Linked DNA regions of Tamandua tetradactyla. The main gene of each other region encodes a partner of the protein of the gene in region 4 in a complex. Links are inferred from orthologs where the notes say so. Each region holds a gene or a part of one and is shown on either strand. Other genes may lie near its edges. The genes, in order: NUP214, NUP107, NUP160 and NUP205.

Evidence for each region.
Region 1: NUP205 (region 4) and NUP214 share a complex: the UniProt entries of both Homo sapiens proteins name them as parts of the nuclear pore complex. The link is inferred for Tamandua tetradactyla from reciprocal best matches to the Homo sapiens genes NUP205 and NUP214.
Region 2: the proteins of NUP205 (region 4) and NUP107 are in contact, whole or in part, in a cryo-EM structure (PDB 7WB4), measured with the Xenopus laevis proteins. The link is inferred for Tamandua tetradactyla from reciprocal best matches to the Homo sapiens genes NUP205 and NUP107. Residues at the interface, in XP_041443600.1 of Xenopus laevis: Gly1247, Gln1248, Arg1249, Pro1250, Ser1458, Arg1506, Gln1507, Leu1983, His1991, Gln1995; in NP_001091312.1 of Xenopus laevis: Gln134, Glu136, Pro189, Tyr282, Tyr283, Gln770, Ser772, Phe773, Thr774.
Region 3: NUP205 (region 4) and NUP160 share a complex: the UniProt entries of both Homo sapiens proteins name them as parts of the nuclear pore complex. The link is inferred for Tamandua tetradactyla from reciprocal best matches to the Homo sapiens genes NUP205 and NUP160.

What each region holds. Positions count from the first base shown.
Region 1 is NC_135328.1:54,076,124-54,083,213, forward strand, and holds the start of NUP214 (nuclear pore complex protein Nup214), read left to right. Parts: upstream 1-4,018; 5' UTR 4,019-4,172; coding exon 4,173-4,217; intron 4,218-6,227; coding exon 6,228-6,423; intron 6,424-7,078; coding exon 7,079-7,090. Other genes in the region: AIF1L (allograft inflammatory factor 1-like), read left to right, coding at 436-523. UniProt on the Homo sapiens protein: Part of the nuclear pore complex. Has a critical role in nucleocytoplasmic transport.
Region 2 is NC_135333.1:136,834,099-136,842,022, reverse strand, and holds the start of NUP107 (nuclear pore complex protein Nup107), read right to left. Parts: upstream 3,168-7,924; 5' UTR 2,910-3,167; coding exon 2,902-2,909; intron 1,623-2,901; coding exon 1,531-1,622; intron 1,077-1,530; coding exon 990-1,076; intron 374-989; coding exon 258-373; intron 1-257. UniProt on the Homo sapiens protein: Plays a role in the nuclear pore complex (NPC) assembly and/or maintenance. Required for the assembly of peripheral proteins into the NPC. May anchor NUP62 to the NPC. Involved in nephrogenesis.
Region 3 is NC_135334.1:124,602,831-124,609,899, forward strand, and holds the start of NUP160 (nuclear pore complex protein Nup160), read right to left. Parts: upstream 3,192-7,069; 5' UTR 3,149-3,191; coding exon 3,049-3,148; intron 2,796-3,048; coding exon 2,684-2,795; intron 1-2,683. UniProt on the Homo sapiens protein: Functions as a component of the nuclear pore complex (NPC). Involved in poly(A)+ RNA transport.
Region 4 is NC_135327.1:178,269,750-178,277,824, reverse strand, and holds the start of NUP205 (nuclear pore complex protein Nup205), read right to left. Parts: upstream 3,033-8,075; 5' UTR 2,809-3,032; coding exon 2,781-2,808; intron 1-2,780. UniProt on the Homo sapiens protein: Plays a role in the nuclear pore complex (NPC) assembly and/or maintenance. May anchor NUP62 and other nucleoporins, but not NUP153 and TPR, to the NPC.

The DNA.
Region 1 (7,090 bases), on a different chromosome or scaffold from region 4:
GGGAGGTTTTTGAAGATCTGAAGAGTTTTTGAAGAGTTTCAAGTAGGGTATTGGCCAGGTTTGTATTTACAAACTTTCTCTTGAACAGAGCTTCAGCCCAGCCTTGTGGTACCTACATGCCAGGCATTGTGTGCAGGGGAAGGTAAAGTCAGAAGTCTGGAGTCTCATCCTGCCTCTGCCTTGGACTACTTGTGTGATTCTGAGAACTCATGGCACCACTTTGCACCTCAGTTTTCTACTCTGGAAAACAGAGTAGCAGTGCCTTTCACACAGCTGCTGCCCTGAGCTTCCATGAGGATCCTGCTGGAGAACAGCTGGGAGGGCATTCTGTTGAGGACTCCACAGACTTGGGGGCTGGGATGATCTTTTCCTGGATTGGGGAAGGAGTCCTAATCTTCTTTTGTTTTGTTTTGTTTTCCTCATCCTCCAAACCAGAGTCATGATGTTTGAAGGAAAAGCCAATGAGAGCAGCCCCAAACCAGTTGGTCCCCCTCCAGAGAGAGACATTGCCAGTCTGCCCTGAGGACCCCTGCTGGACCTGGACCTGCCCCTGCCCTTTCCAGCTGCCTCACCCCCTGCCCCTCCCTCTGGAGCTCCCTGGCCTTCTTGACTCATTGTGATTTGTCTTGTTTGTTTGGTCATTGTGGGTTGGTTGGTTGTTTTCTTTGTGGGACAGAATCAGTGATCTTTTTGTAAAGCACAAATTATCTCCCTTAAAGAGGCTGTAGATGGGGGGGGTGGGGGTGGTCCTGAGCCTTCTGTTCTCTCCCTCTTTTCTCTCCTCCTTTTCCCCTCCTTGTGCAGAAGGGCTGACATTCAACCAAAAATTGCAGGGGATGGGAACAGGGCAGGGAGGCTGGGAGGCTTTGTTCCCCTCCTTTGGAGCTGGCACTGTCTTTCCTTCCAAGTCTCTGAGCCAACCCCAGACTTGTTGGCCTGGCACAGGTGGGGATCCCAGTTCACTTTCAGAAGGCCTAATTCCACCTTTAAGGGAGGATGCTGAGTAAGTCAGGAAAATGAACAATAAAATACTCATGGTAAAAAGTCTGCCCTACCGCTAAGCCAAGAGCTGAGAAATAGAAGATTGCCTTTCTGATCTCAGTCTGCTTAAAACTTGGCTGAACTTCCTCCGTTTGCCTTCCTACCTTACTACACCATTTAGTCAACAGATACTTGTCAACAACCATTATAAGCTCCAAGTCTTCCCATTTTATCCTGACATGTGCTGTGTCTGCTGTGTAACTAATTTCTCCTTTTCCCAATCACCCAAAACTTTGAACCTGGAGATTGGGTTGGGGCATCTGTGTTCTTTATTAGACTCACAGGATTTAAGAGCCCAATCCACCTTGCAGGTTAGCTAAGCCAATCCTCTTGTTTCATAGGTGAGAAAATTGGCAGTCCATAAGGACAAAGTGCCTTGCCCCAGGACAGAGAGTTAATTTGGAGATGGAAAAGTCCAAACTAGAGGCAAGGTCTCATGATCCCCCTGGCCCATGCCTCGTGTCTTCTCAGGACTGCCTCAAGGATGAAAACAAGGAAAGAGGCAGGTAGGGGCGGTCTCCTAGGTCAACACTTGGGTAAAGCTTCTCTCTTCTGAAGGTCCTCTGTGAGGATTAACCCTCCCCAGCCTCAGAGTTTGAGTCAGTGTCACAGTCTGCATTAAGACCAGGCCTACCTCTGCAGTTCTGCATTCTGCAGAGCTTCTGCCAAGTCTTGGAGACACTTTCCTGTCACACTTGACCCCTTTTGGACTGAGCAGAGGCTTCAGCCTTTACCCCTCCCTGTGCAGGGCTTAGACATACTCATTCATTTAACATATTTATTAAGCACCTGCTATGGGCCAAGAACTGAGACTCCAGAAATGAAACAGGACAGACCCATGGAATTTAGAGTCAGATACAGATGATGATGAATGTTAGGAAAGGGGGTGGAACATAGAGGGATGACTGCCTGTAATTCTGGGGTACCTAGACTTGGCCCAAGACTGAGCTACCGTCTGGAGAAGCCTTTGCAAAGCCTTAAGTGGAAAGATCTGGGGGCTGTTGGAGGTTGGGCTCCTTGCACGCTCCTCAGTAACGAATAATCAAGGCTCCAAGGTGCTGCCTCTACACCTTGAGGGGGTAAAGCACCTAGAAGTTGGAAAATGGCCCAGTTGGATTAGTCTGCTGGTCTCAACCAGTTCAGGAGTAAGACTACTTGGACATGACTGGCTGATCTTCAGCCTAAGAAGCTGCTTCAAATGCACAGGCCTAGTTGAAGATTAAACCTCAGCAAAACATTCAACCCTGTATATGTTAAATCCTACTCCCTCCATCCCGCTGGCCTTTTTTGTTTTTTTTTTTTTGCTCCCTAAGATCATTAGGTTAGCAACTGCCTGTCCTCACCTCTTCCCACTACCTCTCTCTGGGACAGGTTGGGACCTCTGAACAAAGTAAAGCCTTCCTTGACTACCCATCACATTCAGTGTTCCTGTTTTACTCAGAGAGGAAGACAGAAATAACTTGGCTTATTTCGGTGGGTTCCATAGCTTGCAAGAAGACAGCAGGAAGACTTGTGAAAGGAGTGCAAGCAAAAGCGTGTCCTGGCTTCTGGAAAGGGCAGGAAAGAAAGTGTCCTTATTGGATAGGGGATATGCTGGGAAATCTCATCAGTTCTTTTACCACTTTTTTGAACTCAACCTCTGGGGGTAGAGGGTCTTGAGAGTGGTCCCTGGGAGAGGGGGTCTGTATGTATTCCAGATTGTGGCTGTCAGCTCCAGGACTCTTACTTCTCTTGGTAAGGGCTCATCTTGAAACCTCAGCTGTTTTATTTCTAAAAGACCAAATCTAATTGTAATGTAACCAATAACTAGGGGATGGCCAATATGGTTTTGTCCCTATGACAAAAGGAAGGAGTTTGTCAGGTAAATTCAAGCGGATGAAGTATGTGTGCATGTGAGTGTGTGTGGTGTGGGAATATCTGCTCTACAGATTGGGAATAAACCAGACAAACTTATCAGCGTCCTGACTGGTGTATTTTGGGGGCAGTTCCTGTGCTCTGCAAAGTCAGAAGAGCTACCTGATATAGAATGACATATAGAATAGTATGGAATGAATGTGTCCTATGTGCCCGGCTTTGTTAAGCTCTGAATTTCATTTACTTCTCCCAACAATGCCATTAGATAGGTTCTTGTTATCCTTGATTTACATATGAGAAGAAGGCTTGGAGCAAAACAAACAAAAAACAGGTGGCAGAACACTTCCTGGGGAGTGTGGGCTCCAAGTTAAGAATCCCTGTCCTAGAGCATTTGTAATTCCACTACAAAAATTTCTTCTATATCTATGTAAATGATTATCAGCATATCCAGATAATCTGAATTCTAATCCTGCCGCCACCATTTTCTGACTGAGGGTCACTAGGGAATTTTCTTAACTTCTGTGTTTCAGTTACCTAATCAGTTAAATGGAATCAATAATCCCTGGGGGTGAGGATGTTTTAAGGATTAACATCCCTAGGGATGAGATAACTTTTCTAAGGTGTTCTGCACAAAGCTCCGAACAAATTTTGTGACCAGGGGTGGATATGGCTCTTGTTCTTAAAATGATTACCTTCAAAGGAGTAAACAAGGCTGGCATATGGTCCCTTTAACCGCCCCATCCAGCCTTCATCCCTAGATACAAAATGGTCTCGGGTGGCGAGGTCCTGTCCCACCCACTTTCTGAACTTCTCTCTGCCTTCGCCCCCAAAGTTTCTCATGAGCTGGAAATGAAGTTCCTAACTGACTTCTGCATCGGAAACAATATCCGCCTACATCCAAGGGTTACCGGGAAGTTTCAAATGAACGATGAGAGAAGGACACTTAGACGTAAGCAACCCACAGAGAAAGCAGCGCGCTCGGCCGGGACTCCAAGCTCCAGGCCGCGAGGCGCGGGTCCCGAGGCCACGCCCCGTACTCGAGCCGCCCAATGGGAGGCATCGGCCCCGAGAGCGCGCGCGACTTCGGGTGTTCCTCAGTCTTGTTAAGGCACGTCGCGAACCGGGGTGCGTGACATCATCAAAACGCGCCGGAAATGCGGAATCCTCTGCGCGCCTCTACCGCTGAGGGAAGGAGTTTAGTCTCGGAGCGTCCTAGGCTCTTGGCGTAAGGCCGCGGGCGGCCTGGGTGGCTGCTTGGACAAACTGAGTGCGGCGCGATGGGAGACGAGATGGATGCGATGATCCCCGAGCGGGAGATGAAGGTCAGAGGCTGTCCGGGGGCTCCCTCCCTTACTCAGTCCTGGCGTTGCCCTGGAGTCCCGCGGAACGGCCGGGTGCCCCGCCTCCTTCTTGAACGTTTTACCGTGTTCAGAGTTCTCATCAGCGGGTCCCGGGGCACGGTGCCGCGTTGCTGGCGTGGTAGTCCCATTGAATGCAGTTTCACGTCCCTGGTTGGTCTTGTTCACGCCTCTTGAATTATGTTGGCTACTTTCATGTAGTAGTCACAGTAGTGGTAACTACTACTCATTAAGCGTTTACTGTGTGCTAGGCACCGTGTAACCATTGTCTCCCTGATTGGTCACAGTATTCCTACGAAATAATTGGTAATATACCCATTTTACAGAGTAGCATATTGAGGTTTGGAAAGTAACTTGCCCAAAGTCGCATTTGACCAGGGGGCTGAAATCCATGTTTATTTTTCTTCATTCTTCATTTGCTACTTCTATAGGGTGGTCCAGACTTGCCTAGCACATAGCTAGGGAATATCACCTAACCTATGGAACTTTTAGTTAACTGGAATAGGAGGACTACTTTGGCACCAGAAATCAGCTTAGTCAGAAAAGTGGGGAAGAACAAGTGGTCCAGATGATGGTAAAGGAATCCCCAGGGATAACCACCAGGATGATATTTCTTAAAAACGTTCTGACAGAATGAAGGTACAGAAAACGAGCTACTTTCTTTTAAATAAGAAACAACTAAAAAGGAGTAAGCTGCAATAAGATTTCAGGCGTTTGTGTGAACAACAAATCATTGAAATGCATTTAAGGGATAGTAGTTTCATATACTTGAGCAGTGATTTCTTCTTTTCCCTTTTGAGAATCACTCTTGTAGTGAGCTACCCTGGAATAATGTTCCTATTCCTCAAATATGGTGGGAAAGAAGAACAGTTTCAGAACAACTGCCTTATGAGATTATAGTTTCCTTTTGAGTTACTTATTACAACAGAAAAGAGAGCTTCTGTGCCTCTTCATCCCACTGGCCCACTATACCCATGTGACCAACACCCAAATGTATTTGACATTATCACGAGAATTACAATAAAGCCTAATAATTTTATTCTGCTTTATTCTATGAATATGATCTCACTTGGAAAGTTGTGTGAATTTCTAATCACTCAGTTGAAATTAGAGAAGAGTATTTCAATTGATCTTTCAGCAAATATGTATTAAATATCTAATCCAAGGTAATTAGTATATGGGGTGCAATAGTGATCCTGTATGAAACGAACAATCTAGTTTTTCTTTTTCTTGAAGGTAAGTTTAGAATTGAAGGGGAAAATTAACCATATAGAATACAATTTAACATAGTGACTGGTATACCTTGGTAGTGCACTTGTGTCATGAGGTGAGGCTGCTGAGGTGGACTGGACAAGCGATATCTAGCCTTGTAGATTGTGTTGAGGATTTTGGACTTGTGTTTTATATGTTCTTCTAGCATCTTGGTTTTGCTTAAAGATCTTGAACTCTAAGTAAGCCAATTCTTGGGATTTGGTCCTCTTTCTGTGGTTATTTTAATATGTGTTTGAGGATTACTGCAGTAGAAGTTAGCACTTATACTGTAGTTGGGTGATGCTTTCGACATTTCACAAATTATTAAGCACTGTTCTGGGTCATGAAATGATACATACATAACGCAAAATAGGGCAAGATTATAAACAAAATGCAGTTTTGCAGTGATTTTGACAGTAAATATAGTAGGAATCAGGAAAAAGAAAAGTTCAACGTGAGCCAGATTAGTCAAGGAAGTCTTCATGAAAGATTTTTTTTTGTTTGCATATTTTCATTTATTTCATTCAACATATAGTACATACTTACTATGCCAGCCACTATGATAAGAGTAGGAAGTTTAAAGACTGCTGAGACACAGTCCTTGGCGTCACAGGATTATATATTTTTGTTGTACTGGAAATTAGGTCTGTTGGCATATATTGACAGTCATGATGTAATTTCCTTTTTGCCCTGAATTGGTCTTGTTTTTATCCTTTGCAATAGGATTTTCAGTTTAGAGCACTGAAGAAAGTGAGAATCTTTGACTCTCCTGAGGAGTTGCCCAAGGGGCGCTCCAGTCTGCTTGCTGTGTCCAATAAGTATGGTCTGGTCTTTGCTGGTGGAGCCAGTGGATTGCAGATTTTTCCTACTAAAAATCTTCTTATTCAAAATAAACCTGGAGATGATCCCAATAAAATTGGTAAGTTACCTGATTTATGTTGCATAATAGAGGAGTGTTGTATAGTGCTAATGTAGTTTCCTTCTCAAGAAATCATTCCAATATTGAAGTTAAACTGCTGTTTTAGTCCTAAAGTTGATTCCCAAGAAGAATAAATTCCAGGTGGGATTCTGAAAAGCTTTTCTAGGTATTCTCTTTGGTCCTTTGTATTTCTCTTCTGTTGAGTAGTTCCTTCAAGCTTAGAGGGAAGAAGAACTTTCCATTATGCTATGCTTTTATTTTAAGATGGTTTGGCTTTCTAGAAGGGTTTTGTCTGTGGCTTTTCAGTTGATACAACAGTACTGTTCAAACAAATGGGAATGTGTAGTATTTGGGAGCATTGTTGCAAAAATGCAGGCACAAGACTTTGTTTTCAGCAAAGAGTAACAACCAAAGTCAGTTTCCCTAGGTTGAATGAGGAAGAGTCCCTGGAATACTTAATGTGTCATTTTACCTCTGTATGAAAGTTAAGTTTTATCTACATAATTAAGTATCAGGTAGGGGTGTGTGTGTGTGTGTGTTTGCGTATGTGTGTTTATTTAGAGGCAAAATTATTTCACATAGAGGATAAAGGAGTTGTCGCTCAATGCTTAAAATATTCCATTTTCTGTTTTGTCTTCTTTTTATGTTTTCATAGTTGATAAAGTCC
Region 2 (7,924 bases), on a different chromosome or scaffold from region 4:
GTTAGCAAACTATCAGAAAAAAAAACCATCTGATCGGCATTTAAAAGTTGCTGATGACACACTTTACATCTGTAATGAGAAGCTTAAGGTTTGTTTCCTGAATACCTAAACAAAAAATAATTTCAATCCATATAACCCAGAGTTATTTTGATTTATGATGAATACGATGACAATTCTTATTAAAAGAAAAGGTTTTTCAGTTGAATTTTATACCTTCATAAAAAGGGGGAAGATTTCAGCCCCATTCTCCTACATACCATGGACAGATTTCCCAAGAACCCCGAAGACTGTGTAAGCCTGGGCGACCTTCCTCCTGTTCCAAGAATGCCGGAAGTATCTGGCTGCCTTAGTAAGCTTCGGTTCAGGGGAGTAACTACAAATAAGAGATTAAGAAAAACAAGCTAACAAACAATCCAGCATAAGTAATTTTCTGTTTTTAGTTCTTTAAAGTCTAAACAAATAAATACTTTAAATGTTAACATTTTCTTGACTGGGAGATTTAACTTTGCTCCGCTAACTTTGAGTGTTTGGTTTTTACCACAAATAGAGATGCTTTCATTATAAAATAACTGAAGAATAAAAAAAAAACACAACAATAATGAGTTAATGAATTCTTAATATTCTAATTTTATAAAGCTTACTAAGAAAGAAGTATAGTGTAGAGAGCATGAGTTTTGGAGTAAGCAGACCACTTTTGAATTTGGTTACATTACTTACATACTTAACCAAGTTATTTAACATCTCTAAATCTCACTTTTAATTTTGAAAAAATGTAAATATTGAAAATATCTACATCACAGCTACCATGTGTTTATACAAAGTATAACTTGCATGTGGTAAGAATTCAATAAATAGTAGCTGTAATCACTACTATTATTATTATTAATTATTGATATTACAACCAAATATATTTATTACATGTACAACAAATGTTAGCACTATTATTAGTGCTATTATTAGATGTTTTAAAAGCAAAAAAAAAATCTTACAATGCGGTCGAAATGAGCTGGGAGTTCGAGGGATAACCTGGTTTCTTGGTGTAGTATTAGCTAAATTTTCATCTTGGGATGCTCGAACTGTTAGAAGAGTTAAAGAAAATTTTCCATGCAGAAAAGAGATCAAGTTAGGATTAAGCATATTTATATTACACAAAATATGTGAATACATTTTTTTCAAGAACAGTGCAGTTCATAGCAACTATTTTTTATGCAGTCAATACATAACAAATTCCTCTGTCAATGAAACTCTAAGTTGTCAGTCTTAAATTACTATATAGTGAATGAAGAGTTCTTAGTCTAAGTTCAAATAAAAAAAGGAACCATGTCAGCAGAACCTAACCACAATATGATAGTCAGCAGTAAAATGGAACACATTTTCAGGGAAACATAAAACTTACTATATTATCATGTAGCATTATATGCTACAATATTTAATAACTAGTGTTAATACTGCTCATAAAAATAAAATTCCATAACTGAAATTCCAAATATCTTGCAATTTTTATAATGATGTCTAAAATGCAAAGGATACTTAAAACTCTTTTTTGAGCACTCTGCTTCCGTGCAGTCCGTGTCACTTCTGCCTCCCGGATCACAGGGGATGACATCTCTCCAAAGTCACTCCTAAGTAGTACAATCAAGCTCATGTGAATGAACATTTACATCACAACTGTAGAAAAGCACTTAAGTTTGTTAAGGTAGGTCAAGATTTTATAAGTGTTAATGAAGGAAAATGTTCTTTCCCCTACAGGATGGAGAAACTCATCTTAAAGGATCTTCTGTAGTCTCCAAAATACTTCCATGGGTACTATGGAAAAGTCGGTTAGTAGAGATGTTTGAGCTTGTGAGATGGGAGGTTAAATAAAAACGAATGCCCATAAATTGGGAGAAACAACCCCAAGGTACCCTGTCTCCTGTCTTACCAATGTTGTACTTATAATGCTCCAGAGTTCCCCTGTTGTTCTCATCCAAAGGTCTAGAAACTAAACTGCATGGATTCAGAGATCTGTGTTCTAAAACACAAATCTAATTTGCTTTTCTTCCACTTAAAACCCTCAAGTCTGACCTACCTTAACAAACTTAGCTCCCTCCAGCTTATAGAATCAAGTCTAAATTCCTTTGCCTGGTATTCACAACCTGATCCCAGCTTACAGGTTTGGCCTTACATTCAGTCATAAACATCACTGCCATACAAATATATACTACATATGACCATTTATCTACACAATGCATGTACTTTCACACCCTCACACCTTTATACATGCTGCTCCTTTTACAGAGACCTACATTTATCCCCTTGTCTACCCGATGAACACCTATTCACTCATCAAGGGAACTCAGTTCTGCTCATTAACTTCCTAACTTTGACTCAAGTTTATCTCTTTTAACTTCACACAATGTTCTCATCTATGAAGAGAGGATGAGACTGCCTATTCTCTCCGCTGTTATAAAGACTAAATTAGCTAATAATATGCTTAAATGTTTAGCACAGTGGCAATCACACAGTTGACACTCAATTGTTGGCTACTGCCAGGAACCAAAAGTCTGAATTTGGATTCCGGTTCCGTCACTGGCTTTGTGATCTCAAGCAGTCACTGAGCATCTCTAATCCAGAGCCACCACTTAGCCTGCCCACCCTAGAAGCGAAAAATGTGTGGAAGCGCAGAATAGATAGATCACAGAGTCACCGTAGGAACGCAGGCGATTATCATTATCTGTATGCTCCACCCCTCATCCCAGCCAAGCAGCCTTTCTTACATCAGCTCCCAGCCAGTGAAAGGAATCTAGAGAGAGCACACAAGACCTCTTTGGCTTCCTCTGTAAGTCGGGTTTCACCTATTCCGTTCCACCAGCAGGCAATAGGGACAAGTTCCCGGGTTAAGCTGTCACCACCAGAACTGACCTGTCCATGGCTATGGCCTTCTTAACCAACTTAGGTTGCAATTCGGATCTAAATGAGCTACCGCGTTTCTGCCTTCCCGCGTTCCGGAAGCAAACCCTTCAACCCGGAAGCACTCCCGACTGAACTCCCGTTAGTGAAAAGAGATGGGGGAGAAGAAAGGAAACAAACAAAAAGCGCAAAAAAGCCCATGACTTTACTATCGGGCGCATGCGCAACCCTTTCCTCCCGTAGGCGCCGGTGCCGGCCTGATCGGCGCAGGCGCGAACGGATGTCCGTGTGTGACCGCGCCCAGCAGGGCCCGGTTGGGCTGGGGGCGGGGTCTGGGCCGGGGGCGGGGGGTGGGCAGGAGGTGGGTCTTGACCTGTTTGGCCGTGACCCGTTTGGCCGTGACGTATGTCTTCGCTTTTCCTCAGTGGTGTTTGTCTCCGCGCTGAGCTAAGGTACTGGAAGCTTGGCGACGTAGACTGCTAATATTGAAAAATGTGAATAATTTTCTTGTATTCTTGGTTAGAAGATGTCTGGACTTGGAATCCTGACGTGCTGGCTCTGCCTACACCTACAGGGTCCCTGACTCAATCACTGCACTCACCTGGTTTGAATTGGTGATATAACCCCCTACAGATTTTGAAACTGTTCTCAGTAATTGCTATTTGTCCTTCACTTGATTTTTTTTTCCCATTAAGAGGAAAAGGATCAGCTGTTCTAAAAAGTCGAAAAGCAGCGTGAAAGGCGATGGGTTGCTCTCTATTTCAAAGCGCCGCCTCGGCAAAAAGTAGTGTCTATTTTGGCTCCAAAGAGATCAGTTGAAGTTTTGCTTTAGGCATTTACATTCCGCTCAAATTCTGGGAACCTTCGTTCCCAGAAAGGCCTCGTCATAACCTTATCTACCCTGAGGCAACACAGCGTGTTGAATAAAGGTGATTTTGGTGTGCCCCGATCGAGGTTTGATCGTCTCTGCCCGCAGATTCCTTTAGGACTCTGCAGGATGAAGATAAAAACACCTCTATCACGAAGTTGTGAGGATTAAAAATGAGATCGCAAATGTGCACTGCACATGGTAGATCATCGAAATATTAATTTTCTCCTTCAGTAACCCGGGTGATGAATCACATCTTGGAACTCGCTCATGTTCCCCACCTCCTAATTTTCCTGTACAAAAGTGCACTTGTTCTCTTATGGAAAGTGAACTGTGGTTCTAAATTATTTTTGTCAGTGGGGAGGCACATTTATTCGAAGTGTGAACCAGTGGCGCCTTTACGTGTGTCCCTTCCGCAAATGAATTCCAGTGGGTTTTACTGATATAAGTTATTCTTTGCTTTGTTGTGTTTTGGGTCGCTTATTTCAGTGACCCTTGCTGATTTCCATTTTAGGTATACATTAAGTGATTGATCTTAAAGCACAGTAGAAAAAGCAGCAGCAGCTTTGGGCAAAGTAATAGACCTGTTCAGTTCATATTCAAGTATAGTAAATTTGTTAACAAGTGTACAGGGATTCACTTTTGTCACATTTCATTAGTAGGCAAGAACATCTTGATGCCCCCAAACATTTAAAAGTTTATTCATTTGGTTGCCTTAAAACTATGTGGAATAAACTCCTTGTGTGGTGTATATTGTATACATGCTGGTTTTATGTTCGAGTTCTTGGTTGCAATGATAAAAATTCACTATGGCTAATTTAAACAAAAGGGAATTTACTGGAAGCATAGCAGAAGCTCATAGATTTTTATCAAAAAGTTGGAGAAAGGACTTTGAAAACTCATACCTCCAGGCAACTAGGGGGCCAGGAAGCAGCCATCCCACAAGCACTCAAGACAGAACATTTTGATCTGGAGCACACACACACTCACACACACACCCTGTAGAAGAATCTGTTTTTTTTTCCCCTCCCCTACTTTTTATGTGGAAAAGTTCCAAACCTACAGTACATTTCTCACGTTTTCTCTCTTTTTTCTTGAACCTTTTGAGAGTTAGTTGCAGTCATCTTTAACACTTCACCCTAAATACTTGAGCATACATCTCCTAAAAACAAGGAGACATTCTCCTACATAGTCACAATGAAATTTCCCCACTCAGAACATTAAACAATGATGTAACTACCATATTTAAATTTCCCTAACTGTCCTAATAATGTTCTTTATACCTGTCCTCTCCACAATCCTGGATCCATGTTTTCATTTCCGATGCTGCTCAAAGCAGATACTATGAAACGAGTTGGATTTAAACAATGAATGGGAACGTTTTAACTTACAGTTTGAGGCCATGAGAATGTCCAAATCAAGGCATCATCATGGTGATGCTTTCTTCCCAAAGACTGGCTGGCGAGCCCTGTTCCTCTGTCATATGGCAGGCGGCATATGGTGGCATCTTCTAGTTTCTCCCTTCTCTTCTGGATTTCATTTTCTTGCTTCTGTGGCTTTCTTTTTCTCTATCTGAATTGTAATCTCTTATAAAGGATTCCAGTAAAGGATTAAGACCCATTCTAAATGAGTGTGAGTCACACCTTAACTGAAGTAGCCTCATCAAAAGGTCCTAGTTAAAATGAGTTTATATAAGTTGAATTAAATTTAAGAACATGTCTTTCTGGAGTACATATAGCTTCAAATCACCACAGTCCAATATAGGATCATACAGTTAGTTGTCATGTGTCTCTTTGTTCTATTTTAATTTATAATAGTCCCCAGACGTTTTTCCCCCTTTTAAGTCACTATTTTGAAGAGGCCAGATCAGTACTACAGTATGTCTTTTAGTTTGGATTTGTCTGATTGTTTCCTCATGGTCAACACATTTGAACGCATTGAGTGTGTGTGTGCAGAAATACTTCGTAGGTGTCAATCACATCAGCTGACGTGAAAGAGGAGTTTACCTTGGCCTCAAAATATGACTGACACCACCACCCCTCTCCACCCCACTTTCAAAAGAAAACATCCTTTTACCTGCTTTTCTTTCTATCTGCCATCTTTTCTTTCTTCATCCCTTCTCAGCCAAACTTCTGTTTTGGTACATTTTAAATAGCTATTATTGGCTTTCTTACTATAAATCCAATATGTGTGTCTATTATGGAACGATAAGAAACTAGACAATAAGCAAAGGGACAAATTAAAGAATTTTCATAAGCCTATTCACTATATCTGACTATAGTCCATGAGAAACCCGCATCATGAATTGCCCAGCTGAATCCAATTTATCCCCAGAACCAAGAGAAATAATAATATATTATTGTTTTATGCCAGTAAATTTGGGGGTGGCTTGTTATACAGCAAAACATAATTAGATTCCTTTCCTGGACCGTGCCTACCCACCCCCCAAAGATAATTAGAACAAGTGGGATTATACTATAACACTGTTTTATAATCTGCTTTTTCACCACATATGAACATCTTTTATATCAGAAATTATTCATCTACACCATGTTTAATTTAGTCATTTAAAAAAAGAGAGGAAAAGAGAACATTCTTTTTTGACTTTTTGTCTCCACTTCCATTTACAGTACAACCTGATGCTGTCTGATTCAACCCCACTGCTAAAGTTCTAAACAAGGTCAACAATGATGTCCTTGCTAGTGAAAGTTTATTCATGGTAAGAGGCTGCAGGTGACAAGGGAGGAGAGTTGGAGTGGGTGGAGGGAGGAGAAGGGCAGGAGAAGAAAAAGGTGCGAAGGTGGCGGCTCACTCTGGACCCAGAGGGGGCAGCATGATGAGGCGGGTAACCCTGTTCCTTAACAGCAGCCCCAAGAATGGAGAAGTGGTTGCTTTGTATGGAACTTTATTTGATTTGCTTTCTGTGGCCAGTAATAAACTTGGCATCAGCCACCAGCATGTATAATGAGAAAGGTGGGCTGATTGATGATATTGCTTTGATCAGGGATGATGATGTTTAGTTTGTATGTGAAGGAGAACAATTTATTGATCCTTAGATTCTAAACCACCTGAAGGACTGACAGGATCCCACACAGATTGGCTAATGGAGGGCGGTAGTTTACAACTACACAGAGCACTTTGGTAAATGAAGAACCTATAGTATGCTGGCCCACGTGTTTAAAGACAAAGGTGTCTGGGGAAATAAGCAAGATTGTAGAGGAGTTTCTTAATTGACTGAAGTCCTGAGTACTTTGAACCCATTGTGAACTATTTGCGTCATGGACAGCTCATTGTAAATGATGACATTAATTTACTAGGCGTATTAGAAGAAGTAAGATTTTTTGTTATTGACTCATTGATTGAACATCTTGAAGTGGCAATAAAGAATTCTTAACCACTAGAGGATCATTCACCAATATCCAGAAAAGAATTTGTCCAATTTCTACTAGCCACTCCAATTAAATCAGAGTTGCTTTGGCAGGGTTTGAACTTCAGTGGTGCTGATCTTTCTCATTTGTACCTTCAATACATTAACTTCAAAATGGCCAGTATAAGCCGTTGCAGGCTTGCACATGCTAATCTCTGCTGTGCAGATCTTGAATGAGCTGATCTCTCTGGATCAGTGTTTGATTGTGCAAATCTCCAGGGGCTCAAGATGCTATGTTCTAATGCAGAAGGGGCATCCTTGAAACTGTAATTTTGAATTGGTCTTAAAGCCAATTTAGAAGGTGCTAATCTGAAAAGTGTGAATATGGAAGGAAGTCAAATGACAGGAATTGACCTAAGAGGTACTACATTTAAAAAATGCATAGTTGAAGAATTGTAACTTAGAGGAGCAACTGTGGCAGGAACTGATTTAGAGAATTGTGATCTGTCTAGGTGTAATCTTCAAGAAGCCAATTTGAGAGATTCCAGTGTGAAGGGAGCTATATTTGAAGAGATGCTGACACTGCTACATATGTCACAGAGGGTCAGATGAGAATTTCAGGGGCTTATAGAAGATGTCCAAGATGAGAAATAATTTTCTTATCACTTTTCCTCTCCACTCAGTTGTCTAGAAGAAATAACACTGTAAGGGGATAAGAAAACATTTAGAGGATTGTGCTTGTTCTCAACAGTGCATAAGGGAAAAAAATGCCTTTTTCCCATATTCTGATTATAAAGAAG
Region 3 (7,069 bases), on a different chromosome or scaffold from region 4:
CCTGAATTCCTCTTCTTCAATGGTGGCCCTTGACCGCATCTACCAGATCATTCCCACTGCATATAAATAAATTATTATACTTTCTCTATAATCCCCCATCATCCTCCAGCTACCATTGGATTTTTCCATTTTCTTTAGAGCAATACTCATTCAAATAGTCACGACCCTCTTCTCTACTTCTCTTCTGAACCCACTCCGCTCAGGCATCTGCCCCACCAGTCTACTGGAGCAGTTTCTGCCAAGGCTACCAATGACTTCCACAAGGCAAAGGTCAATTTTCATTTCTCATCCTACCCAAATCAAATGTGGTGTTTGACAATTTTTTTGCTCTCCTCCTTGAAACACTTTCCTTAAGATTATGAGACAACACTCTTTCACCTCACTGGCTATTCCTCCTCAGTCTTCTTCACTAGTTCCCCATTCCTGAATGCTGGAGTGCCCTGGGGCTCAGTCCTCATACTTCTCTTCCCTCATCTACACAAGTGACACTCAGCTGGGATAATTTTCCTCCCTTCCCTCCCCACCAAGGACATTTAGCAATATCTGGGGACAATGCTGCTACACCGGGGGCGAAAGCAGGAAGAAGCTTGGCGGCCCGCAGCGGTCAAAGGCTGGGGAGGCTGCTCAGTATCCTGCGGCATCCCCTCTGACAAGGAATGACCTGGCCCCAAGTGCTGACCGTGCTGGGATGAGAAACCTCAGGTGATCTCATTCAATATACAACAAGCTTAGATGCCATTTCATGCCAACGATCCCCCAAACTGTATCTTCCACCCATCCTGTCCACTGAGCGCCTGACTACTGTCTGAAGATCTCCACTTGGAAAGACATAGCAAACTAAACTCACCCAAAACCGAATTCCTGCATATCAAGCTCAAAAAACCAAAAATATCTGTTTTTCTGCACTATTTCCCATCTGAGTTAATGGCATCTCACAACTTCCAAATGTTCAAGCCAAAAATCTTGGGGTCACCCTTAACTCTTCTCTTTCCATATACTCTACATCTGATTCATTAGTAAATTGTAATAAATTCACCTGGAAAGCATATCCACAATCAGACCATTTCTCACTACTTCCATCCTTTCCCCACTACATTCTATTGCTAATACAGTGGCCACAGTGATCAAGGTTTTAAAACACAACTTAGATCATGTCATTCTTTACTTAAAATGCTCTAATGGCTTCTTCCCATCTCATCCAGAGTAAAAAGCCTAAGACTTAAATAAGTGACAAAGCTCTGATCTGGCCCTGGGATATCTCTCTCATTGTTCTACTATTCATTCAGACTCCTGACACCCTGCTATTCTTCTGAACACGACAAGCTCCCTTCTCACAGTTCTTTGCATTTTTTTGTTTCTTCTGAGAATACTCTACCTGAAATGCTCCTCCCTTGGTATCCTCACTTTCTCTGCTCAAATAGTCTACCGACTTCTGAGTTCTGCCTTACCATTCTATGTAAAACAGTAATTCCTGTAAGCATTTCCCTTTCCTCTTGACTTGCTTCCTTGTTCTCTATTCCATTTACTGTCACCTGACAAGTTCATTTACTTTTTTTGTTGTTGTTGTTTTTTTACCTGTCTCCCTCCATGAGTGTGGAGAATTTTTGTCTGTTCTGTTACCCCTATATTCCCAGTTCCTAACTGTAGACTGGAACATAGCAGGCACGCAAAAATATTTCTTAAATAAACGAATTCATATTTCTAATACAGGTCTCTCTTCTGAGTCTCAAGTCTGTAAATTCCAATACCTACCAGATATTTCCAAGGGCTGCAGCACTGGTACCTCAACTTTAGTATGTCCAAAAGAATTTCTCTCCAAACAAGTCTCTGTATCTCAGTAAATGACACTCCCACCCCTCACTTCCTGTTAGTCACATCAGAACACCTGGGTTTTTGTCTCTGTTCCCTCCTTTTCCCTTACCCCTCCCAACTCCATATTCAATTTGTCACCAAGTCTGAGTAAATCTAACTTCTAAATGTATCTGGAATCCATTTATTCTGTTTTCTAGCCACTACCACAATCTGAACCACAGCATCTCTTCCTTGGACCATTGTAAAAGGAAAGTGTTCTTGTGTAACAGTCCCACTCAATCCAAGTTCATTTTCCAGACATTGAGACCAACTGCTTAAAAATGCAAATCTGATTGTGTTAAAAACTCTTTAAAAACACTTTTTTAATGACTGCTCGATGTACTTAGGATAAAATCCAAAATCCTTAGAATGGCCTGACATATAGAAGTTCAACAAGTGTTCGAAAAATGAAGGAAGCTGTCAAGTGCTATGAAAACAATGGAACAAGTAAGCTTTCCTTATTGAGAAGCAGAAAGTCCTTGTGAAAGTGTGGAAGGCACAGAAACATAGTTAGCTAAATTAAAAAAAATAAAGCGTTGCTCGATTATAAAAAGAAATAAAACACCACCACAGTAAGTTCATGCTTAAATCCTGGTCTTCAGGGATTTATCCCTAAGCTCCATTCCCTCTGCTTTAGACTGGGGTGGGGATGGGATTTCACGCCTAGAATTCTGGGCCACTCTAATTTTTCTCCTGATTCGGAAATGAATTGCAAACAGTCTTTCTACTTTGCCAGATGTCGATTACTGCTTCGCAGAATGACGGAAGAGCCAGGAAAATCCAAACTCCGAATAACCGTACCTTCTAGAAGGGTGGACGAGACAACACTTACCAATGAATGAATCTGTTTCTAGTGATGGAGAATAACTTGCCGCTTTCCACATAGTAGAAACCTCCCGCGCTCTCGCTGAATTTCACCGCTCCCGCCACGGCATTTACGGTCCCTGGAAAAGGAGGGTGGTCAGTGCGCACACGAGGTTCTCGGGGGATGACAGGGGCTAAGTGCGCCGAGGGAGCACAGAGTGACGGGCTGACAATCCACACAAAGGGAAGGGAAAAGGAGGAAGAAGCCGGACACTGGGGAAGATCCGATCCAAGGGCCAGCAGAATGTGGACTGAGAAGATGAACCCGGCGAGGTGGACAGAGACCCGGGGAACCGTCGGAAGGCCGCGCGCTCTCTGGGACCGCTTCCGTACCAACGCTGCAGACCGTAAATTCCCGAAAATGCCTCTGCCTCTCGCGCTCAGCTCCCACTATCTCCACGAAGCTCCGTTCCAGGGCTCCCGCCGCCGCCATCTTCCCGCGCCGCCGCGAGGCCCGACGGGACACGGCAGGGCCAGGTGGTCTGCGTACTTCCGGGGTGGGGCTAGCGGGGCTGCCGGCAGAGGCGAGGGCCGCCCGCCGCTTCCTTGAAGGCTTCCACAGAGTTGCCAGGAGACTGCAAGGTGGGCAGAGAGGAAGCGCCTCTGTCTGCAGGAACCAACGAGTGGCCGGCTAAGGTGCCTCAGGCGGGCTTCGCCCTTTTCCCGGCGGCCTTAGCGCGCTGCGAGGCGGGGCCTCGCGGGCGCGGTCCTGTGCGTGGTCTGGCGCCCTCTGCGGGTCTAGCGCCCTCAGCCGGTCGGGCGGCCGCCGCCTCCGTAGGTCTGTCAGTCTCCCTTCGCCTGTCAGGGCGGTATTGGAGGTGACAAGGGACCTTCTGTGTTGTATTGGATTTTCTCACGCGACTGTGTTCGTTTTTTCTTGAATAATGACACTCGATGTGTTAAATGAGAAGTTGGTGCCGCGACCTGCTCAAGTTTCGTTACGGAACCCCCAAAAGAGGAGCCGGGCTCTCGTCCCGGCTGTCGAAGCCGTGGGCCCGATTCTGGGCAGAGCGCCGTCTGGGTGCCGAGGACCATGCGCGTTTTCAAGGCGGGAGTTTCTTTCTTCACGAAGCCGGGCTTTGCTAAGGTTTCCGCGACCCTCGCCTGCCGTTCTGTGTGGCATCCGCCATCACTCAGCGAGGCAGCCCCTGAACCGCCTGCCCTCCGTGGCTGCCTCCTCCTTTTCACCGTCCTGCGTTTCCCTGAAAGTTTCTTGCGCCTGCTTAAATTCCATTAGGTTACCCCCTGGCTCGCTCTGTTCACGATGCTTTAGTTGAAAACCTACAACTTCGATGAAATCCAAATCTGCCTTTGACCAGGGCTGGAGAAAAAGTAGACGCCCTTAGGACGTGCCTCGCTCTGACTGCGTGAGGCGCCTCGTGTTCCGTGTCCGCTATTTCCTCAGCGTCCTGGAGGAGTATTTCATAGCTCTCTAACCCCAGCACCTCTTCCCTGGCCTCGCTTAGAAGGTGGACGCAAACGGGAATTCCCGGAGGGTTCTTCCCCGCTGCCGCATCTCCCCACCGGGCCGCACCTGCGCTCGTGGGGCTGCCTTGCCCGTCCTGCTGCTGCAGGTGGAATCTGGTGAGACACTCTCGCTGCCTTTCACTGCATCGCCACGTGCCTGCGGTCCTTCCTCTCTCCTACCGCTTGGTTTTTCCCTTTTCACTGGATTGGTCCTTTATGCATGCAAACTTGCCGTTATTCCCCCCCCCCCCCCCATAAAGAAAGCCCTTATTCGTCTCATTCTTTTCAGCTTCGACTGCACATCTCCGCTGCTCCCTGCATTTACAGCAAAGTTCAAGAGCGTTCTATCCAATTCCTGTCTTCCTGTTCTCGCTTAAACCTGCTTTTTTAAGGCTTTGGCTGTTACTGCTCTCTGAAACTGCATTTTGGAAGATCATCAGAGACATTCACGTTATATATCTATAATGGAATTCTCATTTCTAAACTTTACTTGACCACCTGCAGTATTTGACCAATTGACTGCTCCTTCCTCCTGGAAATACTTTCTTCACTTGGCTTTTAGGACACCCCATTATCTTGGTTTCCTCCTGCTTCACCAACTTTTCTTTTTTAGACTTTTTTTTTTGCTAGTTTCTCCTCTTCTCCTAACCTCTTAATTTTGGAGTACCCAGAACTCTGTTTTTTTTTTTTTTCTTGCATTTTTTTTATTGTGAAGTATAACATATACAGAAAAGTGATAAATTTCAAAGTTTAGAGTAAGTTTCAAAGTGTGGTGTGGGTTACAGTTCCACAATTTCAGATATCCCCTTCTAGCTTTTCTAATACACTAGAAACTAACAAGAAACATCAGTATAGTGATTCAGTAGTCACAGTGATTTGCAGATACTATCTTCTCTGTTACAAATCCTCCCTCTCATTTGATCCTTTTCCCAATCTTCAGGGATATTTGGGCAAGGACTGTTTCTAACTACTTTGCATTGAAGAGAGATGTGCTGGTTTGAATCTGTGGTGTACCCCAGAAAAGCCTTTAATCCTCATTCAATATTGCTGGCTGGGAGCTTTTTTATTGTTCTCATGGAGATGTGACTCACCCAATTGTGGGTATTAATTTTTTGGTTAGAGAGAGATGTGACTCCACCCATTCCAGGTGGGCCTTGACTGAAATCTTTTAAAAGAGGAAACATTTTGGAGAGACTCCCTTTTAGAGCAACGAAAATAATGAGAGCCAGAGTTCACGCTGCCATTTGGAGATGAAGAAGGAATATATCCCTGGGGGGAGCTTCATGAAACAAGAAGGCTGAAGAGAAAGCTAGCAGAGGGCACCATGTTTGCCACGTGCCTTTCCAGTTGACAGAGAAACCCTGAACTTCACCAGCCTTTCTTGAGTGAAGGTAACCACTTGTTGGTACCATTATTTGCACATTTTTATAGACTTGCTTTAATTGGGACATTTTCATGGACTTAGAACTGTAAACTAGCAGCTTATTAAATTCCCCTTTTTAAAAGCCATTCTGTTTTTGGTATATTGCATTCTGGCAGCTAGCAAACTAGAAAAAGTGCCAACAGAGATGTGTAGAGAAGCCGTATGAAACCAGGACTCAGACACTTGAAGAAAAGAAATCTTTGGCCCCAGACGATACTAAATTATGACATGAAACCCATAGTTTTGCCCCAGAGAAGCTAAGTGAGGGACACACAGATGCTTGGAGAGAAAGCCGCTGGAATCAGAAGATGGAAGCAATGAAACAAGAGCAAGGACCTTGGATGCCTGCCACATGCATTCCCACTGATGCAGGACAGATATCAACCTTTCTTCAGAGTTGAGGTATCTTTCTCTGGATGCCTTAGGTTGGACATTTTTAAGGCCTTAGAACTGTGAACTTGTAACTTAATAAATCCCCTTAGAAGTCAGTCTATTTCTGGTATATTGCATTCCGGCAGCTTTAGCAATCTAGAACAAACTCTTAGGCATATTTATAGGTAGGCTTAGCCTCTCATTACAGATAAAAGTTTCATAAGAAAAAGCCTCAAGATCAAGGGCTTGACCTATGACTTGGGAGTCCCTAATATTTGAGATAGTATCAGGTGTTTCCCAGATAAGGAAGTTTAACAGTTCCATATTTTTTCTCCAGTCCCTCTAGGGATTTTGCCACTACTTTTCGGCTATTTACCCAACATACTCTGGAATGTATTAGGGTACTACTTTAAGCTATACAGAATTACAAGATTGCATTGCCACTTCTAGGGTCCATATGTTTAGGTTGTTTAAATGAACTGGCCAAACAGGTTAAGTTAGATTGTGTGCTACATAAAATTTAAGTTGTGGACAAAATAAGCATCTCTTCCTTTGGTCAGATACAGTAGGTGGAGTTTTAAAATATAGCAATATCATTGTCATGGTTAGGGACAGGTGTCAACTTGGCCAAGTTGTGGTTCATCTGATTGGGCAAGCACTGGCCTGCCTGTTGCAATGAGGACATTTCATAGGATTAGGTCATGATCACGTCAGCTACATCCACAGCTGATTCCATTTGTAATCAGCCAAAGGGGAGTGTCTTCTGCAATTAGTGATGCTAAATCCAATCATGGGAAGCCTTTTAAGGAGGACTCAGAGGAGACAGGTGGCATTCCTGCTTTGGCTGGTGAGCCTCTCCTGTGGAGTTCATCCAGGCCATCCATTGGAGTCATCGGCTTCGCAGCCTGCCCTGTGGATTTTGGACTCTGCATTCCTACGGTCACGTGAGACACTTTCATAAATTTTATATTTGCAAGTGTTCCCTGTTGATTCTGTTTCTCTAGAGAACCCTAACTAATACATCTTGGTACCAGGAGTGGTTCTTAAGGAACAGAATCTTAAAAATGGGTTTTTATGAATGGTTTTCTACTC
Region 4 (8,075 bases):
TAACTAAGTTATATCTTCAGTTTTATCTTCAACTTGGCTAATTTTAGTCAATATCTGTTATTGACTACAAATGAAAGGAGGCTATATACTTTTTCAGATTACCGAAGATGTGGGGGGTTTTATCTTTTATTAATAGACTTTATTTTTTGGAACAGTTTTAGAGTTACAGAAAAATTGAATACGTAATACAGTTTCCATATATCCTCCACCTTATACAGTTTCCCCATGAAGATGTGGTTTTGTTTGTTTGTTTGTTTGTTTGTTTGTTTGTTTTGGGTGCATGGTTCAGGAATCAAACCCAGGTCTCCCACATGAAAGGCAAGCATTCTACCAGTGAGCCACCAAAGATATGTTTTTAACATAAGTGATTTGCTCATTTTAGAAATACATTTATTTTCCTTAAGTTTTGAGAGAGCCTTCCAACAAGTTACCATTTATTCACTCATTCATCATGTATTAAATACTGTAAGCTTTCAAATCTAGTGAGAAAACACATTAATTATATAATCACATATAATTGCAAAATTCAGCTGTGGCAAGTGCTATGAAGTAGAGGTATCCAGGGCATGAGATCACTTAACAGGATTTGATCTAGTCAGGAAGGTCGGAGAAGGGAAAGTTTCCTTGAGGAGCAATGAGTAGTCTGAAATCAGGATTTGATCTAGTCAGGAAGGTCAGAGAAGGGAAAGCTTCCTTGACGAGCAATGAGTAGCCTGAAATTCCAAGGATAAAAGTGGAAGTTAACTGAGGGATGGGATCTGAGGACATGCATTTCTGGAAGCCAGAATGTGTGGGTTCCACGACAACAGGGAACACTGCACTGAACTGAAAAGGTCTCAGGAGAAGAGAGCTGGAGTGCAGAAAACAAAGGTTTAGCAAAACAGGCAACTGCCACACTATTCAGTCTCTCAGGCCATGATTTTGGTCAAGATGGAGCTTGAAAATGTCTGCTGGATTTAGTGAAATGGAAGAGCATGTTAATTTTAACTTAGGAAAACAGAACAGAACCCTCGTGGGTTGAAGAAAAAAAGTCAGTGAGTAGTGGCTTGTCTTTTGAGAGAAGAGAGAGGGCAAGGCTTTATTATACAATGTATACTCTTTGCAGCTGTTAGCAACTTCTTTTCCTTTTTTACTTTTGCTTCAATGATTTGGATATAGTGATACTAACTTGGGATAAGTACTTACTCAAAAAATGTTTCTAATCACATACATAACATACAAGCCTTACTTTTAAGTTTACATTTGTGGACTGTATGGTGTGTGAAGCTATCTCAGTAAAAATATTTTAAAAAAAAAAAGTAAGATACAATGACGATTGTATACTTCAGATGGAGTGTGTGGTGTGTGAACATATCTCAATAAAATTGCATTAAAATAGTAACAGAGGGAAAAAAAGGTTATATCAAGTTGAGGGAAGGGACAGCAATATTAAGGAGCTAAGTTCATTATTAACATTGAAATGTATGAAAATTGGATTAATAAAATGAATCCGGTTATAATTAGTAGTACGCAGTTATTTAAGCAGGTAAGATTGGTTTAGGATCATTAGTTACACAATCTTGTGGGAGTTACTGCTCTAAATTTCTATTTCCAATTGGGGCATTTATTAGCAGCTACCTCACAAGTACAAAAGGGATTATACTTGCATTAAGTGAACTAGTGCAAGTACAATATTTATTCCACTGCCTGGGACAAAAGTGCTCAATAAATATAAGCCTTCATTATTACAAAATAACGTGTCAGTATTTCTTAAATAGTTTGATTTGCAACTTAGATTTAGACAACCTTTCAGGAATAACAGTTTGTGAAAGCAGAATAAACCATTAAAAAAAAGTGTACAGAGACAGAAAGAAAAGGTGCCCACGAAGGAGTCCTTTTCGGTGAGATTCTGCACAAGGATTTTTCACGCAAACATTCTCTTAAACTGTGCACAATAAAGCTAAGTGCGGCTCAACCCGGGTGTTACTGACATTCTGTGCAGGAAACTCGTTTCCATAACAGTCCTGCCCGGTGCGAGACTTGAAGCATCCTTGACCCGCCCACTAAATGCCAGTAAAGCAACCCAGGAATTGTGACAGTCAAAATGCACCCCCTCTTTAAAACGCCCTTGTGGGGTGGCACCGCCCCGGGTCGAGAATCACCAAAAGAGGCCCCATCCCAAATCACCTAGCGTTCTTTTTCCACCTCTTACAATCTGCATTACCGCCATCTACTTTAGCCCCGAAGACCTACTGTCCCAAAAGTACTGAACATCTACTGTCGGATCACAGCCGCGGATCTCGGAATCATCTGCTGAGCCCGCGACAACCATTGCCTAGGCACCTTCGCCTGGGAACTCCGGTACTTCTTTATAGATTGGAGATTCGAATTTGCTCAGCCTCCGCTGGTGACTGAAAACTATCCCGGGTCCTCTGACCTCACTGTTGAAGACTCGACATATATTATGGCGAAATCCGGGCCACAGGCACCTCACGACGTGGGAATATAAGTGGGGATGGGAGGACCCAGGCGGTCCTGGGCCGTGAGATTGCAACACTGTTCCTAGGTACCACTTCTCATTGCCCCGACCCTCAAACCCCAACCCAAAGGATAGAGCCGCAGCGCCTACGCGCGCCATTCAAACAGGAGGGGCGGGCCCCTAGGCCTAGAGCTAGGGAAAAATATACACCGAGTACAAGTGGGATGTCTGGATACCAAGGAACCTCATAGCCCAGGTTATTCCACAAACAAACGATCACCGCCCTGCCTCTCCGTTTTCCTTCTACCCCGGCCACACTTACCCGAATTTACCGCCAACAGCGTCGCCATCTTGGAGGCGCACTAACGAAGCCCTCCTGTCGCTCGGAGGCCCCAGAAAGGGTGAGGCTGCCCGACGAGGCGCCTGAAAATAAAGGCCCCGCACTGCCATCTCTAAACAGCGCGCTGGGCTTACGCGGGAGTATGAAAAACTGAAAAATATGCTTTGAGCCACAAGCAGCAATTTTTCACCGGAATTGTTCCCATTCACATAGGGCAAAGGCAACCACGTCGGAAATGCAAGGTCCTCAACTTGACGTATTCGTGCAGTGCATCCTGGGACCTGTAATTTCTTCCTAATGATGCGTCAAGTGCGTTATGTACACTGGAAGAAAAGGTTTCCAAAGACAAGTTGTTGAAATAACGCATATTTATGATATTATAAAATCCATGAAATCAAATAAAATTATCTAAATTTTATGTTAAATCTTCTTTGCATAGCTCCGTTACCTTGGGACGTGGAGTTGGGTATGAGGTTTCAATACTTCTAAAAGTCATTTGACCTGTTACAAACAGGATTTTCAGCACATTTCAATATACAAAGTATACTGCATCAACATAATTGCATGGAGTGAAACAAATCATAACTTTTTTTACTAGAGAGGTTGTAGGTTTACAGAAAAATGCAAAAACTACAGTTCCATACACAACCCACTCCTGCCCCTCATGCACACATAGTTTTCTCTATAATTAAGACTTAGCATTAGTGTGGCATTCTGTTAAACTTGATGAAACAATATTATTATAATTATACAATTAACTATAGTTCATAGTTTATATATAAGTGAGCTCGTACAATTTTTTTTATATTGAATCTGGCTTTTTTCACTAAATATGATGTTTTCAACATTCATCCACTTTGTAACATGTATAAGAACTTCATCCCTTTTTATGGCTGAACAAGGTTCCATTGTACACATATAGCACATTTTGTTTGTCCATTCTTAAATTGATGGACCCTAGGGTTACTTCCATCTTTTGGCAATTGTGAATAATGCCGCTATGAATAGGGGTGTACAAATACCATTTGAGTCCCCCCCTTCCAGTTCTTTTGGGTCTATACCTAGAACTGGAATTGTCAGGTCATATGCTAATTCACACTTAACTTTCTAAGGAACTGCCAAACTATCCTCCACAGAGACTGCACCCTATTACAATGTCACCAATGTTGCCAATATACTGGGAATGAAATGGTATCTCATTGTGGTTTAGATTTGCATTCCCCTAATGGCTAATGATGTTGACCATATTTTCTTGTGCTTACCAGCCATTTGTATATCATCTTTGGAGAAATAGCAATAAAAATCTTTTGCCCAGTTTTTAACTGGATTGTGTTTTTGTTATTGAATTGTAGGATTTCTTTATATATACTGCATATTAAGCCCTTAGCAGATATGTGATTTTCAAGTATTTTCTTGCATTCTCTAGGTTGTCTTTTCACTGTCATGAAAAAATTCTTTGATACCGCAAAAAATTAATTTTGATGAATTCCAATTTATCTATATTTTCTTTTGTTGCTCATTCCTTTCAGGTAAAGACTAAGATACCACTGCCTAACACAAGGTCCTGAAGATGCTTCCCTATGTTTTCTCCTACTGTTTTATAGTTTTGGTTAGCATATTTATATCTGTGATACATTTTGAGCTAATTTTTGAATGTAGATATCCAGTTTTCATTCTTTACACATGGATATCCCATTTCCCCATTACCATTTGTGGAAGAGATCATTCTTTCCTGACTGAGTGGAAATAGCACACATGTCAAAAATCAGTTGGAGTCTTACTCAAACTCGTAGATAACTGAAGGAGGAGGGAATGCTACCTAACTCATACTATGGAAGCAATACCATCCTAATATCAAAGCCAGATAAAAAAAAAAAATAAGAAGGAAAATTACAGACCATTCTCCCTAATGACATGGGTGCAAAAATCCTCAACAAAATACTTGCAATTCAAATCCAATTGCACATTATAATAATTATACACCATGATAAAGAGAGCTTTATCTCAGGTGTGTAAGGGTGGTTCAACACAAGAAAATTAATCAATGTAATAAATAACATTTAAAAATTGAAGAAGAACCACATGATCGTATTGATTGATGCACTAAAAGTGTTTGACAAAAAACCAGAATCCCTTCTTCATAAAAACACTTTGAAAAATAGGAATAGAAGAAAACTCTCTTAACATGATAAAGGGCACATTTGAAATGCCCACAGCTAATGTCATACTCAATAGTGAAAGATTGAAAGCTTTCCCACTAAGATCAAGAAAAAGATAAGCATGTCTACTGTCACCACTGTTATTCAATATTGTACTCGAAGTTCTAACTAGAGAAATTAGTCAAGAAAAAGAAATAAAAGGCATCTAAATTGGAAATGAGGAAATAAAATTTTCACTATTTGTAGAATATATGATGCTATACCTAGAACGTCCCCAAAAATCTACAACAAAGCTACCAGACCTAATAAATTAGTTCAGCAAGGGATATAAGATTAACATGAAAAAATCAGTAGTGCTCTATACACTAGTAATGAACAATCTGAGGAGAAAAATAGGGGGAAAAATCAATTTACAATGGCAACCAAAAGAATCAAATATCTAGAAATAAACAAGGATGTACAAGATAAGTATTCAAAAAACTACAAAGCATTGCTAAAAGAAATCAAAGATCTAAATAGATGTTCATGGATTTGGAAAACTAAATATTGTTAAGATTCCACCCAAATTGACTTACAGACACAATGCAACTCCAATCAGAATTCCAAAGTCCTACATATAGAATTGGAAAATCTAACTCCCAAATTTATTTGAAAGGGTAAGGAGCCCCTTACCCCTTGAGATGAAAAATGAAGTTGGAGTACTCTCATTTCCCAACTTAAAGCACTTTGCAAAGCTTTATAAAGTGATAAAATAGCATGGTATTGGCATAAAGATAGACATTGACCAATGGAATTGATTTGAGAGTTTAGAAATAAACCTTAAGATCTAACATGAATTGATTTTTTCACAGTAATAAAAAAAGTTCAATGGCATAAGGATAGACATATTTATCAATGGAATAGAAGAGAGCTCAGAAATAAATACATGTATCATGGCCAATTGACTTTTTTTTTCAAAGTACACTTCAACAAGTAGTTACAGAACAGATTTCAGACTTTGTTATGGATTACCATTCCACTATTTCAGATTTTTCCTTGTAGTTGCTCCAAAAGACTGGAGGCTAGAAGTATTTTTTTTCTTTTTTGTGAAAAATAACATATATACAAAAAAGAAATAAATGTCAAACATAGCACAACAATTAGTTGTAGAACAGATTTCAGAATCTGGTGTGGGTTACGATTCCACAATTTTAGGTTTTTACTTCTAGCCGCTCTAAGATACTGGAAATGTCAACGTAATGATTCAGCAATTGCACTCTTTTGTTAAACCCTACCTTCTCTGTATACCTCTACCATAGCCTTTGATTCTTCTCCCATTCTTGAGGGGTATTGGGGCTATGCCCATTCTAACTTTTTCATGTTGGAATAGGGTATCGATAATATGGGATAAGGAGATAAAACTAGCTGGTGTTCTGGAGAGATTGGCCCCTCAGCAATCATACTCTTTTGTTAAACCCTACCTTCTCTGTATAACTCCACCATTGCCTTTAATCTTTCTCCCACTCTTTATGGGTATTTGCGTTATGCTCATTCTAACTTTTTCATGTTGTAAGGGGCTGTCAATAATATGGGTTAGGGGGATGGAACGAGATGATGCTTTGGAGAGGCTGGCCCCTCTGTGTTTCAGGATTTATCTGGTCCAGGGACCATCTGGAGATTGTAGGTCTCGAAAAGTTACCCTAGTGCATGGGGCCTTTGTAGTATCTTATATAACACCCTAGGTGTTCTTTAGGATTGGCCGGAATAGTTTTGGTTTGGTAAGGTATGGTGGGTAGCAATATCTAAATGAAGCTTGCATAACAGTGACATCCAGAGTAGCCTATCAACTCTATTGGAACTCTCTCAGCCACAGATATCTCATTTATTCCACTTCTTTTCCCCCTTTTCTGGATGGCATTACTGATCCCACGGTGCCAGGACCAGACTCATCCCTGGGTCAATCGATTTTTCACAAGGTTGCCAAGTCCACCCAACTGGGACAGCACAGTCTATTCAACAAATGGTGCTGGAAGAACTGGATTTCCATATCTGAAAGAACGAAAGAGGACCCCTATCTTACACTTTATACAAAAATTAACTAAAAATGGATCAAAGACATAAATATAAAAGCCAAACCCATAAAACTCCTAGAAGAAAATGTATGGAAGCTTCTTCAAGATATTATGGTAAGAGGTGATTTCTTAGACCTTACATCCCAAGCAAATGAAGAAAAGAAAAATAGATAAATAAAGGACTCAGAATTGAATACCTTTGTGCTTCAAAAGACTTTGTCAAAAGGTGAAAACGCAGCCTACACAATGGGAGAAGATATTTGGAAATCACATATCAGAAAAGGGCTTTTATATCCAGGATATACAAAAAGATCCTGCAACTCAATGGTAAAAAGACAACCCAATTAAAAAATGGGCAAAAGACACAAATAGACATTTTTCCAAAGAGGATATACAAATGGCTAAAAAGCACATGAAAAGAAGTTCAATCTCACTAGCTAATAGGGAAATTCAAATCAAAACTACAATAAGATATCATTCACACCTACAAGAATGGCCACTATTTAAAAAAAAATTGAAAAGGAAACTTCAAATATTGGAAAGGATGTGGAGAAATAGGAACACTTACTCACTGTTGGTAGAAATGAAGAATGGCACAATTGCTGTGGAAGAGTTTATAGATTCCTCAGGAAGCTAAGTATAGAACTGCCATATGATCCAGCAATCCACTTCTAGGTATATTCTCAGAAGAACTAAAAGCAGGGAATTGAAAAGACACTTGAACACCAATGGTCATAGTGGCATTATTTACAGTTTCAAAAAAATGGAAACAACCCAATTGTCCATCAACTGACGAATGGATAAACGAAAGGTGGTGTACATATAATGGAATATTATGCAGCTGTAAGAAGAAATAAAGTCATGTCACATTGATGAACCTGAAGGACATTATGTTGAGTGAAATATTGTATGTCCTTCATATAATTAGCAAATTCATGGTGTTAATATCTAGAACACAGGACATCAGAAATTAGAATGAGGGCAGAGAAGAGGAAGTGATGCTTAAGTTGTGCAGAATATGTAATAAAGTTGATTGTAAATATGTAGAAATGGGTGAAGGTGATGGA